Schizosaccharomyces pombe: one gene and its partners. The gene in region 2 interacts genetically with the main gene of each other region. Each region holds a gene or a part of one and is shown on either strand. Other genes may lie near its edges.

What was found.
Region 1: mutations in pfa3 (region 2) and opy1 together harm fitness more than expected from each alone (negative genetic interaction), as found in Schizosaccharomyces pombe (one large-scale study listed by BioGRID).
Region 3: mutations in pfa3 (region 2) and plb1 together harm fitness more than expected from each alone (negative genetic interaction), as found in Schizosaccharomyces pombe (one large-scale study listed by BioGRID).

What each region holds. Positions count from the first base shown.
Region 1 is NC_003421.2:944,595-951,477, forward strand, and holds the start of opy1 (protein opy1), read right to left. Parts: upstream 1,791-6,883; 5' UTR 1,667-1,790; coding exon 1,547-1,666; exon of another isoform or gene 1,266-1,546; coding exon 1,203-1,265; exon of another isoform or gene 1,153-1,202; coding exon 1,077-1,152; exon of another isoform or gene 1,039-1,076; coding exon 278-1,038; 3' UTR 1-277. Other genes in the region: ade10 (bifunctional IMP cyclohydrolase/phosphoribosylaminoimidazolecarboxamideformyltransferase), read right to left, coding at 3,238-4,995; tRNA (guanine-N7-)-methyltransferase catalytic subunit Trm8, read right to left, coding at 6,599-6,883. UniProt on the Schizosaccharomyces pombe protein: Binds phosphatidylinositol 4,5-bisphosphate (PtdIns(4,5)P2/PIP2) at the cell membrane.
Region 2 is NC_003423.3:1,700,008-1,706,593, reverse strand, and holds pfa3 (palmitoyltransferase Pfa3), read right to left. Parts: upstream 2,314-6,586; 5' UTR 2,194-2,313; coding exon 1,966-2,193; exon of another isoform or gene 1,894-1,965; coding exon 1,132-1,893; 3' UTR 1,067-1,131; downstream 1-1,066. Other genes in the region: phosphoprotein phosphatase Phs1, read left to right, coding at 2,830-2,842, 2,893-3,429, 3,482-3,558; Sm snRNP core protein Smd3, read right to left, coding at 3,966-4,032, 4,086-4,215, 4,271-4,330, 4,376-4,412; cytosolic thiouridylase subunit Ctu2, read left to right, coding at 4,621-5,721; mrpl51 (mitochondrial 54S ribosomal protein mL43), read right to left, coding at 5,888-6,096, 6,193-6,355, 6,447-6,512. UniProt on the Schizosaccharomyces pombe protein: Palmitoyltransferase specific for VAC8. Palmitoylates VAC8 at one or more of its N-terminal cysteine residues, which is required for its proper membrane localization.
Region 3 is NC_003424.3:1,073,436-1,080,318, forward strand, and holds plb1 (lysophospholipase 1), read right to left. Parts: upstream 3,259-6,883; 5' UTR 3,184-3,258; coding exon 1,342-3,183; 3' UTR 896-1,341; downstream 1-895. Other genes in the region: SPOM_SPAC1A6.11 (uncharacterized protein), read left to right, coding at 99-419; ptl3 (triacylglycerol lipase), read right to left, coding at 6,586-6,883. UniProt on the Schizosaccharomyces pombe protein: Catalyzes the release of fatty acids from lysophospholipids. Required for survival under high osmolarity, for normal osmotic stress-induced gene expression, and for nutrient-mediated repression of sexual differentiation.

The DNA of each region.
Region 1 (6,883 bases), on a different chromosome or scaffold from region 2:
TACTACAAACTGGCTCATGACGAAGGAAAAAAATCATTAAATTAGAGCAAGAAAGACACTTTTGTAACTAGCTGTGTCGATTTTCGGACATTATCGGAAATATTATTAGACAAAAAAAAAACAACGAGATAGTCAAAACATATAGAAACAGAACGGATCAACACGTATGTACACGAAGGGTAAGGGGAGTCTTATGAAAGGAAATCACAAGAAGGTAGCTAGAAAAGTAGCTGAGGAATCGTATTATGCACCAAATATTTTGATGGAAAAGCCATTTTTAACAAGCAGTAAAAGTACCATTGGCCTTGTCAATAGAAGTCTTAAGTGCAGCAACCCAGAGTATAAGTGAATCTTCGTTATCAACGCGAAATTCGATAGGTTTGTTTTGCGTAATTACGGTAAAAAAGTATTTGTGTGAGCTTTCCGGAACGTTTATTTCAGCAACATCCTGAATGTCGGCTATCGGTATCACTTTAACAGGTTTGTACTCTCGGTTCGTGTTGTAAATAGTCATACCATATCCACGAACAACAGCCCAACACTTGGACCACCTATGTAAATTTCCATGTAGCCAGTGAATGGTTCCTTGCATAAGAACTTTATTTTCATCCAAGAGTTTATAGAGATTTTGTAAGGAAGCCGAATGCCTGTGCTTATTCAGCGTATTAACTTCTTGTGGGTTGAAGGGGTAATTTGCATTTTCTTCATTGATACCTGGTGGTCTCAACTTTCCAAACTGTATCAAATCATAAAGTGAAGTACAGAAATGGTCACCCTGACCAGTTTCCAAGTCTAAAGGAGAAGTCGTTTGATTACGAGGTTCAGTCGAAATATTGTCGAAGTCAGTATCAGAGATCTGAACGTTAGGCTCGCTTTCGGTTCGAGATGAAGAGTTCGCAAGGATATAACTGATAGGATGTCTTGAAAACGGTGCCCTATAACCCGTTGTGGATCTTAGAACATGAACCCATTCCTCAGCATCCTCATTTGAAGTGGCAATGAGACGAATTATCTTTTCATTTAAATACAGGAAAAAAGCTAAACATTAGATATAAACATCAAAAATTCTAACGTACTTTTTGGTGATTTTTCTTTGTAGTAGGCAACAGCTGAAATATCCTGAGTAGGGAAAATAAATTTGGTTTTGTACTCCTTGAAGACTGTTAGCGCGTCGTTGAAATTTGCACATTTTATTCACAAACCTTTTCGTCTTTGTAAAAAGATAACTGATCTCTGCGAAGAACAGCCCATAATTGCTTTTTAGTCTAGGTTGTTAGCATCCACTACAAAAAAAACCATGAGTGCAAATATTGACTCTGAAACGGGAAGCAAATAATTGGAATATTCTGAAAATCAATTGGTCAAAGTGCTTGTAGGGTGCTGTTTGCATCATCATATCCCCAAATCAAAAGCGAACAATAAAGAATTAAGAGTACGTATCATTCACTTCTAAGTACACTTCACAAAATTAAAGAATACTCCAAATCCCTTTCCACTCAAACGTATCGTAAATATTACTCAGACAACTAAGTTAATGAATACATACAGAAGTTGCATGTCCTTTCTTTATCAACCATCCGGATTTTAAAACACGCTCAAGCTCTGGAAGCCTTCTTGCTTCATCAAGGCTAGCAGTTCTGAGATGCGATGAAACTCCTGGGTCCATTTCATCAAGCGAATAGTCAAACTAATAAACGCCTTCTTTCTTTTGAATACATCAAGAAAATTCCTTAAACTGAAAGGTGTTAAACTAGAACGATGTAAAGTCGTCCTCTATACAGATTTTGGTTAAAATCACGTTTCCTAACGCATACGTGTTAGTGGTACCAGCGACGTACATATTCAGTAATAGCGTTCATTAACGTATCGCTATTTGTCAAGTGAAATTAAAATGTATGGTAGAGAAATTTCAATAATAGAAATGATAGTACGAATAAATTGTAGCAGTAGAATTGAGAAGCCTTCTTTTTGAAAAAGGTAGTCTGAAAATATGTCATCTTTATTTTGAGAGGCATACAACCATATAGTACATGGACACAGTAATCGTGTAGAAGTGCTACATCTCGTATACTAATTAAGAATCAAAAGAACTTTTGTAAATCCTACTGTTACAGAAATTCAACTTTAGGTTGTATTGGTGCACAGTGGTAAGGGATTGTTGTAAGGACTGGCAGGATGAAAACAAAAAAGCTATTTAAAGGGAGCACTTGTTCGCTGTAACAAAAAGAAAAGCAACAAGAAAGAAATACTTTTTTAAATATTTTTTAGAGAACCACTTTCTCTAATGTAGAAAGCGTTGGTCTTTCCCATTCGGTTCGAGACCTATGAAAGCTACTCAGTAGATACTGAGTTAGTAGGGAGTAGGGTTTAAACGTGATTTTAGCATGGTTTCTTGGAATAATAATAAAAATTCCCTTCCGTCCTCTATGCCATCTTCTTTATGCTTCACTTTACGTCCAGATAGTTGATAGTTTCCGGTCTTGTAAGATGATTATTGATATGGTAAATCAATCACAATCGAATGAAAGATAAAAGAATAAGAGTATGTAACCCTTTAAGATGGGAAATATATCAAGCAAGAATGGGGTTAAAAAAAAAACAATTTTAAAGTCATTAAATCCTTTTTAATACCATTAAATAGTACTAATTTTGCTCGTGAGTAACTAAGGTCGGGTAGCATAGTTGGTTATTGCGCACGACTGTTAATCGTGAGGTCGAGGGTTCGAGTCCCTCCCTGACCGGATTTTTTATGCTTCAAATCAACTGCAGCAAAAACATACGCTCAATCAATTTAATAGAAATTTGCAAACACCCAAGAACATGTTTAACTCAGTCAGTTTACTGCGAAGCTCACATCCAAAAAGCAGGTTTGATGGCGTTTTCCTTTCTACTTCATATGTTAGCTTAGCAACCAAAAATGCTTTATTGAGCCCGTTATGCTGTGAATTTCCAAGCTTTCGAATAAAATTGTTGCATTCGTGTTAAACAATAAAAAATATTTTCCCTACTATTACTGAAATAAAATGCCTTGAGTATCGGAAATCTTTTCAAAATTCAGGATACAAAAAAGATGCCAAATTTTTTTATATTAAATCAAAAAAAGTAAAAGACGTTGAAGTCTTTATTGTAATACCTCTATTAAATGATGGTATAAACTGAGGAAACCTATCAAATATACAGAACAAAAAAAATTATATCCATAGTAATAGTGGTCAAAAATTAGGTATACAAACAAGATTAATGGTGGAACAAACGCAAGGGGATCTCGGAAAAGACCATGTTGAACTCATTAGCAGTGTCGCGAACAGCTTGATCCATGACACTACCGCCAGGTGCAGCAACATATTTGACACCGCTTTGGGCAAGACGATAGATGTTGTCAGGGAAGGGGAAGAAGGCATCACTGGCACAGACAACATCCTTGCAAGTAGCCAAAAATTCCTCCCGCTCCTTTTTAGTAAGAGGCTCGGGAATAGTCTCGAATGCAGACTCCCATTGCTCACGTTCACTACCTTCAGCAGGAACGGCATCAAGGACGTACAAGTCAATAGCGTTAGATTTCTCAGGACGCTTAGCAGACTTCTTAAATTGCATACCCAAGACTTTAGGGTGATGACGAAGCCACCAGTTATCAGCCTTATCACCGGCCAAACGGTTGCAATGAATGCGGGATTGTTGACCAGCACCAAGTCCAACAACCATACCATTCTTAGCATAGCAAACAGAGTTACTTTGAGTATACTTAAGAGCAGTGGTAGCAATAACCAAATCAATAAGAGCAGATTTGGGTAAATCCTTGTTCTTACTAACAACTTTCTCAAAAAGGCTGAAGTCAATCTTGGCATGGTTGCGATGCTGTTGTAAGCTAATACCGTAGACCTGGCGAGTCTCAATTTCGGCGGGAACATACTTGGGGTCCATTTGCAATACACAGTATTTACCACCCTTCTTCTTCTTCAACAACTCCAAGGCTTCGGGCTCGTAACCGGGTGCAATAACACCATCGGAAACCTCACGAGAGATAATACGAGCAGTGCAAACATCAACTGTATCGGAGAGAGCAATAAAGTCACCAAAGGAAGACATACGGTCAGCTCCACGGGCTCTAGCATAAGCACAAGCCAAAGGAGTGAACTCGGTAATGTCGCTAACAAAGTATACCTTCTTTTCAACATCAGACAAGGGTAGACCAACAGCAGCGCCGGCAGGAGAAACATGCTTAAAGGAAGCAGCGGCAGGAATACCGATGTTTTCACGAAGCTCTTTGACCAAAGGCCAAGAGTTCAAAGCGTCCATAAGATTGATGTAGCCAGGGGAACCACATAAAACTTTGAAAGGAAGGGGTCCTTGTTCCATAAAGGCTTGGGCAGGAGATTGATGGGGATTAGCACCATAACGGAGAGTCAATTGATCAACGCCAGCAGCATATTGCTTGCGGAAGTAATCAGTGATGGCAGCATCGTAAGAAGCAGTAGAAGCAAAGGCCTTCAAAGCATAAGTATTTCTGTCATCTTGAGTAAGTTTGTCTGACAAAAACTTATCAGTGAAAGTCGCATAATCAGCGGGATCGCTCAAAATGGTTACACGAGCGTGGTTCTTTGCAGCGGCACGCAACAAAGTAACTCCACCAATATCAATTTCCTCAACAGCTTCAGGAATGGTAACGTTAGGCTTGGCAATAGTTTCACGGAAGGGATAAAGATTGCAAACCACGATATCGATCTTCTCGATGCTTTGTTCAACGAGATCCTTTTCATCGGAAGGAATATCACGAGCAAGAATGCCTCCATGGACAGCAGGATGCAAGGTCTTTACACGACCACCCAAGATCTCAGGAGCATTGGTGATCGAAGATACATCAGCGACTTCCATTCCACTCTCACGGATCATCTTGGCAGTACCACCACTGCCCAAAAGCTTAACGCCTTTGCTTGTTAACGCTTTGGCAAGTTCTAACAAGCCAGTTTTATCGTAGACACTTAACAAAGCATACATTTTTATCCAAGAATCCCGTTTGCGACCAAACTAAAAGTTTTAGATGTTAGTTCAGCTGAAAATTGCTGCACCCCAAAGTACGACTTTAAGTGTAAGAACTTATTATTCAAAAACACGCTATTGATTGATAACGAAAACCAACAAATTTATAAGGTTTGCTAACAGTCTCTCATTATGTCTGAATTTGTGATAACAGAAGAGTCTGTTACATGTAATAGGGTAATTTTCTTCAATACGTTAGACTACGCTACTAGTTTTGTTCATGTCGATGTTTTGACTTCATATGGAAAAATTCAAGTATTGTTCGAAGCAATAGTGACTGCAAATGGAGTTTGAATGTGACAACGGTTAAATCCACATGCCAGTCTGTTTTGAGTGTTGCTCTTTTAGACCTAACAGGCAATGATCAATCGTGCATGTAGTCAATCACCAAATTCACTTACAGTCATTGTCTGAGCATTTTCTACTAATATCCTAATGTGTTAATCATATACAAAGATGATAATGAAACCGGCCATCGGCTATTGATTCTTGGTTCTCAGAAATCTACAGCTCAATCATGCAATACTGATATTACAGAAAAAAATACTTTCATCGTATGAGCTAACTCACGTAAAATCATTCAATTTTTAGATACGACAACCTCTTTGCTTGTTTATTTTTGAAATACTAAATTGCTTGCTTCAGTCTTTATAAATAAAAGTATAATCATTAGATTTCATGATTAGCATAGAATATAAAAGAAAAACATCACTAGCAAGGAACATTTTTCAAATTAAAATTCAAAAACAAATCGTTACAAAAAGATGCAATTTATAAAAAAAAAATGAAAGTACACACACACGGTTAAAGAGTCAAAAAGAAGAATTTAATTTTATTTTGCTCAAGCTTATAAGAATCTGTAAAAAAAAGTTAGTAAATTATTCAAATAATAAGATTTCATGGAAAAGCACTTGAAACAATAGAAATATTCAGAGATCGGATTTGGCTTCCGGGTCAATCGTCACAGATTTCGGATAGGGGCGACACAAATTGCTCATCATAGTAATATTTTTAACATTGTTTCAGCGTTTTAAAACTCAAGTTGAAATTACTTACATTCTGTTTTGTAATTGACAAACCACCTCTTGTTATGAGCTTCTACTTATATAATCCTTGGACAGTCACAACCCTGCCCTAGTATACTGTTAAAGAATGTCAAATAGTCATTAAAAATTATTGAAATTTCGATCATTTAGGTTATTGAAGTATTATGTAGCAAGTAATAATATAGTATCTTGAAAATACTTAAGAGAGCTGTAGGTCATATTACCGTACAAATTGATTTTATTTCAAAATCCCAAAAATTCGGCACTTAACATGTAAAATTACTCCTTTTGCAAATTTACTAGATTTCTTGTTTTATTTAGCATTCATAATATATTGCCATGGAGTTAAAAGGATAGTTGCAAAGAGCTCTCTTATTTACGGAGCCAGCTTGAGGATAGGTACGGATTTTGTAAATGAGTAGTTAAACAGTAAGTCAATGCGAAAGTGTAATGATGTTAGCGATAAATGTTAATTTAGTTATTTTAAACCTATATTATTCAGCCCAATTATTAAGTTATTTTGGATTTGGAATGCGCTCATAACATGCAACAAATTTCTTTCCGCCATTACGTGCAACCTTTTTCCCTTCCTCTGTTTCGTTTGTCATCAATGTAACACATATATCGTTTTCTTCTTCTTCTTTTGTGAATCGTCGAAACAAGGGATGCGCGTCGAGATGTTGAGCCATCCAAACATGTAGCTCTTCCACGTCTGTAATGGTATAAAGCGTTCCATGGGGTCGAATGAAATAAGCATACTCACTTGCCAAAGTACTTGTGATAATTCTATTTTTATGTTT
Region 2 (6,586 bases):
AAGCTTGTCAAACTACCAATTTATGGGGGTAATTAATTTTATATATTATTTATTTGTCTAGTAAATATTTCTTTAGCCATTGTTGCGCTCCGTCTAGCTAATTATCAATGGCAAGAGCATTTAATTGGAATATCAATTCTACTTTATTAAATTACTGACAACCGCAATACAGTTTCTAGGTATTTTTTTAACGATCTTAAAAAAAAAGTGTAGCTAGCGAGATATTGGCTCTGTATGCATAATGCAAAAAAAAGAGCACCAGTGATATGGTTTCCTTGCTGCATAATCAAGTATGCGCTATTCGTTAAGCAAAAATTCTATTGAAATCGTAAGTATGCGAAAGTATTTAGAGTCTTTTCTTTGCATGAACATTCTGATTACATTGGTTACAATTATAAGTGACTATTATTTACGTGCACATAAGCACTTATAATATTATATTGTTACTAACAATAAGAGATAAAATAACAACTCTTATATAATAATGAATTGAATTAATTAATTAAAAATATATTCACATTGAAAAAATTCAATACGAAAAAAATAAAATAAAATAAAATAACTAAGGAAAGACATAAAACGAATGAAAAACATGGAAAATGCTGATCAAGTTAAACTAAATACATAATATTACTCATAAACAATTTATCATTACAGTGCATATTCAAGCGATCAAAGGTTGCGATACTTGAATAGTCGAACAGGGATAACGAAAATTTTTTCCCAAACTATTAATCACGCAGGGAAATTTTCAAAAACTAGCTGAAATCCTTGTTTTTGTAAAGAATAAAACAAACGAATCTTCAATTCGAGTCATATCCAATGGATTGTTGCAATTTGCAATGAGTGCTTTTCTTAAAAAAATTGCGAGACGTGTTAAACTCCTAAGTAAGCATTCAAAAACACTTCCAAAAATCCATAAGGGTAGTCAAGCAATCATCGAAAAGGACATATTTGCTTATTTTTTTTTCTAAAGTGCTTTCAACTGATTTTTTCGGAGGCAAAACTCAAAATCGGCAAAAACACGGATTATTAAGGAGCGGAAGAAACATTAAGCATTTTTTTTCGTAAAAAAGATTGATTCACCGGATGATTTACTCTTGAAAACAGTAAAATAGAAATGTCGTTGGCTTATACCAAGAAGTCTTCAATCCACTCATATTGCCCCATATGAGGATTCCAACGGCGATTTTTCATAGCATATTGCTCTTCATCGCTACTCCAACCTTCAGCTCCAGCAATGCTAGCAGGAACCGAGCTCTTGTAGAGTTTGTCATTCTTCTCTTCTGTTTGGGGTAAATAAGGGAGAGCATTTGCATTTAATGGATACTCAACACCTTCCCCAATAGAATTGGGAAAAGGAAGTAACCAAAGAAATGGGGATTTCCCCATAATCTGGCACCAATTTTCGTACCAGCCGACATTGAACGGTTGAGTGGAATGCGTATATCGACTCCATGAAGAGCTCATGGATTCCAAAGTGCTTAAATTATGAATGAGCAATGATGTATGATAAAAAGTAAAGGCAGTCATAACAATGCTCATTCCAACAGCAAAAGCAAACAGAAAGCCCCAGAACACTAAATAAATAGCACTAATATTCGCTCCTTCGGCTGTGAAAGTTTTGGTGATGGCAACAAAAGTTGAATAAAGAACGCAGATGGAGTAGAGATTTAAGTAGAAGCACTCCAGGAAGAAAAACTTGTGGTTACGGAATCCAACACAATTTTTAAACCACATGCAATGATGGTCCATTCGAAGAATGCACTTATTACATTGCGAGCAATGATGAGATCGATCGCATTTGTATTCTTGACATTTTTCGCAAAATCGAGATTTTCCATTCTGTAATGTCATATATTGCCTAGTAGAATTCGGATCAAACGAGGTCTCCTGAAACAGAAGAGTTAGTTTCCTGTTTTAATAATACTCACATAATATTTATACTAAAGGAAATTGACGTACCGATGGAGAGCCTGGTGGTGTAAGATTAGTAAGGACATAACATGTTACGATCATAATGTACAAAAACAAAATGATGATCCCTACACGATTTTTATTGATTTTGTAAATTCCCCAAGCAAGCCATTGAACACCACTCATCAACGAAAGCGCAATTATTTGCATACAATACTTTGCAAGAATTACCAAGACACATTGACATATAGTTGATACTTTATGAATCAGATTCATAGTTTTTATAACTTCTATCAAAATTATCAATAATTATTATAATAATCAGATTGTCCCTTAATAAACCTCTTACATGTGATTGCAATTTTTTTTCGATGAAAGGAGTGTTTGGCTGTGGCTAGGATGTTAGTCATCCGTAACAGCAGGCTTTCTTCTTACGAAATGACTAGCACATAGTACTTTAAACAAATTACATATAGCAGAAAAATGTTTTCAAATAATTATAAATTTCTAATTTTAAACTGGTTCAGATTACTAATTTAATACCCGGGGTTTGTAAATTTTTTTTGACTTGATAATGTAAATAAAGACACGTATCATCAATCGAGTCAGATAACCCAATTAGTTATAGAATATGTAATTTACCTTAATTTTTTAATAATCTGATTGATATTATTTTTGATCAATTTATGATTCTGTGCGAATTTGATATTTTCATTAATACATAACGATGTTAGCCAAATCCGAATTTTAAAAGTTGTTTGTAAAGTGTTTGTATACATTCTTTTGATAGAAAGAATTTATCCATCCCCCAGAACGCAACAAACAATATTGGCCAACAATGGTCTCATACAAGTGAGGCCGCGTAGTGAAACGTTTGAAAATCGTATTGTTCCAACTACAATCCCAACAAAAATGTCGAAAATTTGTAAGACTCGATTTTTTATAGATCTCAGTTATTAACAAAGTTAAAAATAGTAAAAATACAATATTTAAAACTATACAATGTTATCTCCTGCTTTCTTTGGATGAGCGTTTTGCTTCGTACAGGATTGATATGGGGAATAACCAAAGATACAGCCGTAGTTTTTCATGAAACAAATACTTTAGTTCGCTGGGTACAAACTCTGGCAATAGCTGAAGTATTCCACAGTATATTTGGACTAGTATCTTCTTCTCCTTTAACAACAATCATTCAAGTTGCATCTCGACTTTACCTTGTTTGGGGTGTGTGCTATCCATTTTCATATGTTATTGAGGGATCTCCTATATACTTAAGTATGATCATCGCTTGGTCCATTACCGAAATAATTCGTTATGCATTTTATGCATTCAACCTGAACGGCGACATCCCTGCTTTCTTAACATGGCTTCGCTATAATACCTTCCTAATCCTCTATCCCATCGGTGCTGGAAGTGAATTTCTTTTAGTATTGAAAAGTAGGATTGCTGCTCAGTACGTCTGGAGTTTGAACAAGCTGCTTTGGCCCATCTTGATGTCTATTTATCCACCTGGTAAGTTGAGTGAAACCCAGCTTTTCTTCCAAAATCTTTATTAACTTTCTAGGTCTTTACATTATGTATACACATATGCTTGCTCAACGTCGAAAGATTTCCAAGCGGGCTGCTGCCAGAAGAACCTAATTTTTTTTTCTAAGCTAAAATAAGTTAGGTTTATTATTCTGTAGTATCGGATATTACATATTATTCAATTTTTTACTTAACTTTTGCATTCGTATAGCATATAAAGATTTATGTTGTAAATATGTATTTTAACAACACAAAATAGTGGTAATAGCATTTGTCACTATAGATAAGTCGAAGGTATCACTCCGATAAACAGCAGCTACATAAACGTACTTCGAAAAGATGTAAAAAGAGCTTATTCACAATATCTCTTACTACTTACAATGCAATGTAGAAACACGTGCGTCCATTAATTTATTGAATATTTAAAAAATCATTACGTTTTTCAACTTTAAAGCAACAGTAGAAATGAATTTTTCATTACTTAAATCACCAAATCTATTATCCTTTTTCATACGGTTCTTTTATCGTCGTCCACGTGTAGGTAAAGGAACACTTCTGCCAGGGCCAACTTTGAACATAGGAGCATTCCTTGTTTAAAAACGTTAAAATTATGATTAAACCAACCACTTAAAAATTCTTACCTAAGCATATCAGGAACGATGAGAAAACGAATGTGTGAACCACGAATGTAAACTTGATCCAAATGAGAAACACGACCATCTCGAGCAGTTACACTGATATCTCTCATTTGACAATTCATATTATCTTCCGCTAATTAGTGTAAGTAAACCATAACAAAATAGAAATCGTTTTAAAATGAATATACCTTCAATTAACTTTCCACGATACGTAGACCCATTTTCCAACTCCATCGTAACGATATGGCCTAAAAATTAGTTTTACTAAAAAAAAATTGGGTAAAAAATCGTACCTTGGGTCTCATGAAGCAACTTAATACACAGAGACATGGTCGATGGTGGTGTACTGTGTGAGTAGCTGGCACTATGAAAAATTCCAGTGTTTAGTTGGTTTGCGCACCACCAACTATTCTTTTTCCATAAAATTGGAATTGAAAGAAGAATAGGTATCTCTTAAACTTATTTATTTATACGGATAATTTTTTTGAAAGTACTTTGTGGACCTTCATTTCGAAAAACAATAGAAAAATCTAAAAAAATGCAGAACACGGCTCTAGACAATTCAGCCGACTCAAAATGTTCCAAATGCGATAATAAGGCAACAGTTCTGACTAAATCAGATGCGGTCTGCGATTCATGCTTTGTCAGAAGAATTGAGAACAAAATTCGTCGGCAATTTGAGCTTGTACGACCCAATTTACAAGGACGCAAATCTAAAAGAGCAATGCTGGCTATTTCCGGTGGTATATCTTCAATGGCAATGCTTGAAACAGCCAATTATTTATCAAAATATCGAGATGATAATTACCGGCCTATGTTTGATGAATTGCTTGCAGTTCATTTTCAGTGGGGAACGGATTCAGCTGTTGCAAAAACGATTGAGGAAAGTATTTCCAAAAATTATCCTAAATGTCCATTCAAAGTTATTGGTGAAGCTGAGTTATTGAACCGTACCATTGCTACAGACTCACGAGGAAATATAGAAATAAACGCAGATAATGAGAAATTTAATCCAGAAGTCATTAGTTCGTTAGCCTCGCGTCAAGATTTACTTTACCGAATTCGGGATAAGCTTTTAGTATCCTATGCCCGGAAGGCAAATTGTGATACCATTGTTTTTGGTGATAGCGGTACTACAATTGCTGCAAGAGTTCTTGAACTTGTGGCAGAGGGTCGAGGTTTTGCGATACCATGGTACACTTCTGTCTGCTCTAAGCTTCCAAATTGCGATACTTTCCTACTACGTCCCCTACGTGAAGTTTTGTCTTCAGACCTCAAGTCGTATATGAACATTAAGGGATTAGCTTTCTGCGATAGCTTAATTGAAGCACGTCCTAATACTATTCATGGCGTTACAGAATCATATTTCTCATCGCTGAATGATACATTCCCAAGTCTGGTTAGCACCGTTGTCAAAATGAGCTCAAAATTGCATGTGCCTTCTACAGAAGCCATATGTACCATCTGTAATCTACCAATGCAAGAAGATGCTGAGACTTGGTTACAAAAAACTACGGTTGAACATCCGGATTCCGTTGAAGGTATTAAGAATCAAAATGTTTGCTATGGCTGTTCTGTTTCTTTAAAAAGCTTAAAAGGGACGTTGCATATTCCTGATATTGAAAAAGAAGGGATTTGATACATCTGTACACTTACTACCTGGTTAACTAGAGTATTTATGGGAAGATAAATTTGGATAGGGTTTTGTATTTCGGACAAAAAGGTTAGACATAATAACATAACGAAAATGATTAAATTGAATTTTCTTTTTTTTGTATGAAATAATAAGTAGTTTGTAGAGGAATCTAAGGGGACTTTTTCTTATAAATTTCATGGGGCTTTGCTTGATCGGAAAATGGACTCCAAATACCACGAACGGATGGGTTTGTTGACTCAACAGGATATTTTATGAGGCGAGGTTTCAAACCATCACTATCTCTGCATAGAATTGCTTTTTGAAATATTGAAGACGCTGACATTTTCCTTGTACAAATGACCTTCTCTCGACCAGTATCTATTATCGTAGCATTAGTAAAAAACACTATTTTAAGGAGTTCATATTTATAAAACTAAGAGGATCACCATAATAAGAGAAAAGTCTTGGACGTACTGTAATAAGCTCGGATTAATGGATGCTTGCCTTGGCGGTTTGTAACATGAAATTCCACATCTTGAGATTCTTTGGCCAAAGACTCAAGCTTTGTGGATAAAAATTCTTTCATGCCTTTTGAGCTTCCACCCCAATTACAATACGAAAACTCAATTCGACGGCACTAAAAAGAAAATTAGTAATACGAAGTTAATGAAGGCCAATCTTTTTTTTTTTTTTTTTTTTAAAAAAAAAGAAAGCTGATTAAATCTTACTGGGCGGGTAAATGAACCTAGTCCATTTTTGGGAATTGAAATTTTAGGAATGATTTCAATCATCATTAAGTGAGTAAAAGGCCGTAAAAAAGGGGATACCGTCTTTTAAAAACCAGAATTCTTAATATGCTATATTGAAA
Region 3 (6,883 bases), on a different chromosome or scaffold from region 2:
TTGCAGATTGTCCTTGACTATTATTTAACACACATTACTGGCATCAAATTAGTCGCATTACATTACAACTGGCCGCATTTTACATAATTGATTAAAATATGAATCACAATGTTTATTTATTAACTTCCTTCAATCTTTGGAGTCATGGTGTATATAAAATATCATCAATCTCTCTCAGTAACTCTTTTTTTCCTCATAGTTTCATGTTTGTAAAGTCGCTACATCTAATGACATCACAACATATCTTCAAGTGTCTTTCTTCTTGTAATTATGCTCTTTCAATTCTACATAATATATGTTTAGCCAGTTTTCTTTATTTATCAAAATGTTATTATCATACACACATACTTACTTCTGTTCGATTAGATTTTTGTAAATCGCATGCGCATACCTATATCAAAAGCAAAGCCTCAACTTAAAGTTAACTCGGATCCCATTTCGTTTAGACTTAAAGCATAAAATGCACACTTGCTAAATAATTTTGCAAAACACGTAACTCACAGTCATCGGATTAGAAAGTAAAGCCCGAGGCCGAGCAAAACCCGCGCAACTACTACAATTTTTTTCTCCCATTACTCGTTGTGATGTATTCTATACTGTCTCATCTACATCCCCACTACTTCATTGATTAAATTGCGTACAGTTGATATAATTTGTAAATGATCGTATAATCTGTTTTACGTTAACTAAATTTTTTCATTTCTACATCTCCTTCCTCATCCTAATTAATGAATTATAGGCTGTATGTTAAAGTTCACTATTCCTTGTTCAAGTATAGCAAACCTTTAAAAATCAAATTTTATCATACAAAATATATACATATAAATAATAATTTTTTGAATCAAACAAAACAAAAAAATTACAGTCAACTTATTTATATAGACAAACAACATTCTTATTACAACCAAGAATTAAAAAAATGACTTATTTTCGCAACTATATATAACAGCAACTCTCATAAACAACTAGAACACGTCCAATTTGGAGCCGTCAACAAAACTGAATTACAGCAAACGAAAGCTCACAATAGAAAATGAACAAAAAACATTCCGAAGAGAGGGTAAATTAGAATAAAATACTTTCGGAAGATAACAAAATAGTCTCCCTAATTAGAGCGGAGTGAACGTTCAGTTTAATAATCCGTTAACAAAAACCCATATCGCGTAATTGGATTGATTCACATATATGGCTAGGTTTGATTTATGCTAAGACAGCAGACATTGTATAGATTTTTTTTAAAAACTTTTTTCCAGGCATAAGCATTGCCCTCTATCTTTTGCTTGTGAGCAACAGATATGTCGTATAAATACTGAAGAGAGAAAAGTTTGCATGCGCCTTTCCTTAAATGCCTTCACCAAGACGGCAAGTAGGATTGTAGACAATATCATCATTAGCAGCGCTGTCATCATAAAGACCGCTCCAGCAGTAGTTATAGTAGCATTGTTGGCACTCGGGGCTAGCAGTGATGTTGTTACGCTCCAAAGTACGCTTAACAACGGCACAGGCAAAACATTGACCAAAGTAGGTGTCATTGTCAACGGTAGAGGAAATAAGGCCGTTGGTAAGAAGTTGTTGAATCATGTCTTCAGTGTAGTAGGTGCGATCAGTGGAAATGTTAGTGAAGTAGTTGTAAGGAACGTTGGGAAGATAGATAACCAAAGGAGGAGTGTCACGGGTAACAGTGTGGTTACCAGCAGTGGTGTTACGACCATCACAACCAAAGAAGACAGGGCGATCGTTGAAGTGAAGACTGACAAAGGATTGTTGGCTAGGAACGTAGGGGAAACCCTTAACATTGGTGTTTCCGGCAGCTTGGGCAGCAACGACACGCTCATAAGTTTGGACAAGAGAGTTACCGTTGGGCCAGAGCCATTCACTGTCATCACCATTGTCAACGGCAACGATAACATCGACATCACGACCCTTTTGCAACAAAGGCCACAAAGGAATCTTCTCACCAGTAAGGAAGGTATCAACTAAGTTAAGGGAAGAGCTGGAACCCAAGTTGTTGGCAGCATCAGAATTAGCACTCTCAACACCTTGGAAGGGGTTGGGAATGGAGATGATTTGTTGACCGTTTTCAGAAAAGTTACCTTTCAAGTATTGTTGGATGATACGACCGTTCTTGGTAGAAGAGTCATTGAAGTTACGCATTATCTTGTTGAAGTAAGTAGAAGAAGCACCCATCATGAAACCAAAGTTGTCATAGTTGATAACGCAAGAACCATTGCTGCTAGCACCATTGTTTAAGGTAGTACCCAAGTATTCGGTAGGAATAAAGGAGTTGATTCCATGGTCAAAGGTACCGAAAACGTTGGGGGAAGCTTCAAAGAAAGTAGTGTTAACATTGCTAATATCCTCACCATAGTTTTGGGTAGCAAAGGTAATGATGGGGTAAGGGAAGTTGGCATTGCGGTACCATTCTTGGGAAGTAATACTAGACAAAGAGACATTAGGGAAACCATAAGTAGTGTCACCAAGGGTACGAGAAATCACACGTCCCCAGTAATCGGAAAGACTGATGTTAAAGCCAGCATTGGCCTTTTCGGCAACTTCATTCATAATAGAACTGTAGAAATGAGCGTTGAAAACAATAGCACTCTTGGGATACATCAAAGGGTGGTTGAAAGCCCAAAGTTTGCTAAAGTCGTTAATGGTACTGAAATTGTTGAGAGCAATGCCACCAACAGTCCAGGCACTACCATCAGTACCAACGAGATAGTCAGAGGCTTGAAGGAGACCAGTCAAAACAGTGTGGTTGTCGTGACGAGCATCCATGGCAGAGAGGGCACCAGAACCCAAAATCATGGCACGTAAACCACCACCGGACAAGGCAATACCGATAGAAGGACCTTCAGAGCCAGAAAGAGTATCGGCATTCAAACCAGGCAAGTTGGCGTTACGAAGGAAGTCCTTCATGGCAGTGTTGGTAATAGTAGAACGAGTGCTCAAGTATTCAGACTCGGCGCTAGGAATCTCATTGCTGGAGAGACTCTCGACAATGTTATCAGAGGGACAGTCCACATAATAAGGAGCGTAACTGGGTCCCTCTTGCTTAGTGCTATGCTTCTTGGCACGCTTGAAGACCTTGACAGAACCATCGTCTTCAGCAGCGGGAAGAGCAAGGGCAGAAAGGCAGGATGCCAAAAAGAGCATCCACAGGCTTAATCCGCGGAAAAGCATTTTGAATATTTAAACTAAAATGTTGAGAATAGATATGCAAAGATGTATGCAAATTAAATCCCCAAATGAACGTTCAAAGTTGGGAGTGGGACGGAAAGGGTATATAAGAAAAAAAATTTAATAAACGTCACACGAGTGTATTACTTTCCGAATGACACCCAATCAAGATCTCGGACTGATACTATTCCGTAAGTCGGAGAGGAAAAAGTGGTAAAGTAACAAAAACCTAGAATTTGCAAATAGTGGACGAAAACACAAACCCCACAATAGATAGAACTAAAGAAGGCAGGAAAACGGGACTAAAAACAAAATGAAAGAACCTGGCAAACGAAGTTTAATGCAAAGGTTCAAAATGAATAAAATCTTTTCCCTAAAGGATAAATAATAAATATTCAAAAGGAAGATGTAGGAAAGTGCTAAAAGTACAACGATTTAAAAAGTCCACGACGACCTTTTTTTGTTTGAGTGAGTAATAAGAAAGAGAAAATTAAAAAGGAATAACGACGAGAAAACCGGAAATCGCACCAAAGGATACACTAGGAAAGAAAAGTGTGATGATGATACGAGAAATTATGATGAAGGAATGAGGGAATCACTGAAAAAAGAAATTAAGCCAAATCACAGTGTTGGATCGTAAAATATGTTTTTGGATTCAACTAATGCGAAAACGCTCTCTAACCGAAAGAGTGTTAGTGTTTTCTTTTTTGGGGTATTTTTCAAAGAGCTAAGAAAAAGGGAGCAATCACAAGAAAGGAAAATGCAAAATTCCTCGCTTGGATGGATTAAGATTTAAATAAAAGTAAGGAAGATGATTAGGGATTCCAAAAAACGGAATTTTTTGTTTTGAAACAATGAACAGATCAAGGAAAGTTGTTTGATTGCGATGGTGGTGAAAATGCCTGTGCACCAGCACCACTTATATACCTGGGACCAGTCGCTCGGAACAAGGTTTCAGTGCATACAGTCTATAATTTTACATGGATTATACAAAGAAAAATAAAATAAATCATTTTATGTATTTTATTTTCAAGTTTTTGATTCTCATTTTTTTGACTTCAACTTGCATCTACCCCACAATCTTGACAGAATCCATGTCTGGGGCCCCGTGAGTACCGGCAACTGACCCTCTAAAAATTAGGAAGCAACTGCAACATTGGTCCAGAGCTGCGACGATGTATCCAAGCAACTGGAGTAATAGTGGGATAGAGTTATCATCAAAATAACGCTGCCCACAAGAAAGGATGGGATGTTTGTCTACTGGCAAAAGGTACACTGGGGAAAAATACAAACACTCTACTCACCGTTTAAACCCTTCTATACTACCGCTGGTCAGACAAGCTTCTAATTTTTTTACGGATTCTGTTGTAAATTGTTAGAATTCTTGTTTTTTCTTCGTTGTTCGTCAGTTTAACCCCGCCAAAACCCAAAAAAAAGTGTTTGAAACACTATTCTAAAGGTGTTCGCCCCTCACCATTCCGGTAAGAAATCAGGCAAGTATCCGCTCAAAAGTTTGGCGGGGAAGAAGGAAAAGAGCCTAAAGTCGGACGAACAAATGCGGGGTGGTGTAGAGGAACGCAGTCTAGAACAATGGAGGAACACATGCGCAGTGCAAAAATGTCTACCGCAAGAGCAAGAAAATTTTCGCACCAATTATTAGTTAAATGAGGAGCATCACATGAAAAAGTGGGACATATCCAATCACCTCTCAGTATTTTGTTCACTTTGCTCCCCTCGTTTTCCCATAGTGTGGAGAACATTCATGAAAACCAAACCTTCCGCCAATCAAATTACGGTTTGAAAAATTCTACGTTTCTATTCGCCGTCATTCGGAACAAGCGAGCTTCCACCTTTTACGTTGACATCATTGAAAAATGGAGATAATGGGGTTAAGGAAAGTGTGGGGCTAACCTTCCAAGTTACCTTTCCCTCCATGACGTGGAGTACATTTAGGCTCGTAAACTAACGTGCGTACGTTGGACTAGCTATGCTGCACGCTATTTGTCAAAAAAGGATTTGCAGCATGCGAGCGAAAGTCAACGAAGACGTGTATGCGAGGAAACCGGTGTGGAACAGTGTTCTAGGACTATACCTGAACAAAATTGTGGGGCAAGTTTATTTTCGCTTTTGCTAATGCCCTTTTTTTTTGGCAATTGCCTTGAGTAATGGACATTCAGTGTACTTTGTTTTATTTACAAGCTTAGGAAAAGCGAGCTGGTTAGGAGCACTAGTAAACACAAAGCACACTTTTAATTAAGCAATGTTATAAGTAATTAAAGTCTGTATATATTAAATATTTTCAAAGACAACTACTAATTCATTTTCAAATTATCTCTTTTCACATTTCTTTGTAAGAGCATACTGTGCGATGTTTTCGAGGGAAATTTATTGATTCTTTTTACTAGTGAGACTCTATCATTACGAAAAATATATAATAAACATTTCCTTTTTATTAAGTTCACGTATAAATTGTTTCTACTTTTATAATTAGCATCTCGTTTGACAAACAGTAATCATTGAAAACCACACAATACTTCATCTTATATGCAGGTGCGATTGACCACCATCGTAACAGCCAACCCTGCACAGCGAATATGCTCAAAGAAAAATAAGTTAACTTTCTTTTACTTTTTAATTTACTAAGATTATGGATTGCAAGGTTTCTAGCTTGTTGCAATCGGTATGAATAGCCAAAAACTATTAAGAATTCATACAAACCGATCTATTTTCGCCGAATACTATAAACGCTACTGCAGGTAAGTAAAAAAGTAAATAAATGTTATTTCAATAATTGGTCTCTCCTTTATATCTTTTCTTCAAAAAAAACAAAAAAATAAAAAAGAAAGAAAGAAAAGAAGAAAAAAAGCATGAGCCATTATGTTTATTCGTTTTACAAAATGCAATTGCCATTAAATAATATTTATGAATTATTAAGCACGGTAAGAATGAAAAAAACTTTATTGAAGTTAAAAAAAAAAAAAAAAAAACAATACAATAAAATAAAATAAAATATATATGAAAACACTTATAAATTATTAATTATTATTTTTTTTATATAGACAATAAATTTGGTCTATTCAACTTTTTAATTTATATTATTCCAATATCACCGACACATACTATCATTTAACAGACGGTTTGCAAATAGCATGTCTATTTACCAAAGATTCAAAATATCACTATCAAGTCAATAAGTATATCTTGTAAAACCGGGAAAATTCAAAATACTGTTAGCAATCATCAAACCAAAAAAAAAGCAAAACAAGTTGTATTGTAATAAAAAGAATAACACTAAAGAACCAGTTTGGGAACATGAAACTTTTCAATTTTTTATGTACTATGTACAATAGATAACCAATAAATACAAAAAACAAAACAAAACTGAAAACTCGGGGTATTTAAAAATTATTTTAAACTTTTAGACCTTTTTATTAACCGAGTATATGCAGCTGCGATTAAAATCTCTATTGCACAATGGTTCCGAGTAACTGGAACTTTTGTCCATGTTCCACGTTTGCCCCTCGTTGCTGCATCTAAAAGAAATGAAGGAGTTGGATTTTTAATGACTTTATTCACTTCACGGTAATTCAATCTGGGGATAATTGTAATATCTCCAGAATATTTCTGGGTGATTACAGATTGAAGCTTCGTGAATAATACCGAAAAAATGCCTAGTTCTGCAAACAAACGAAATGTCAAGCTA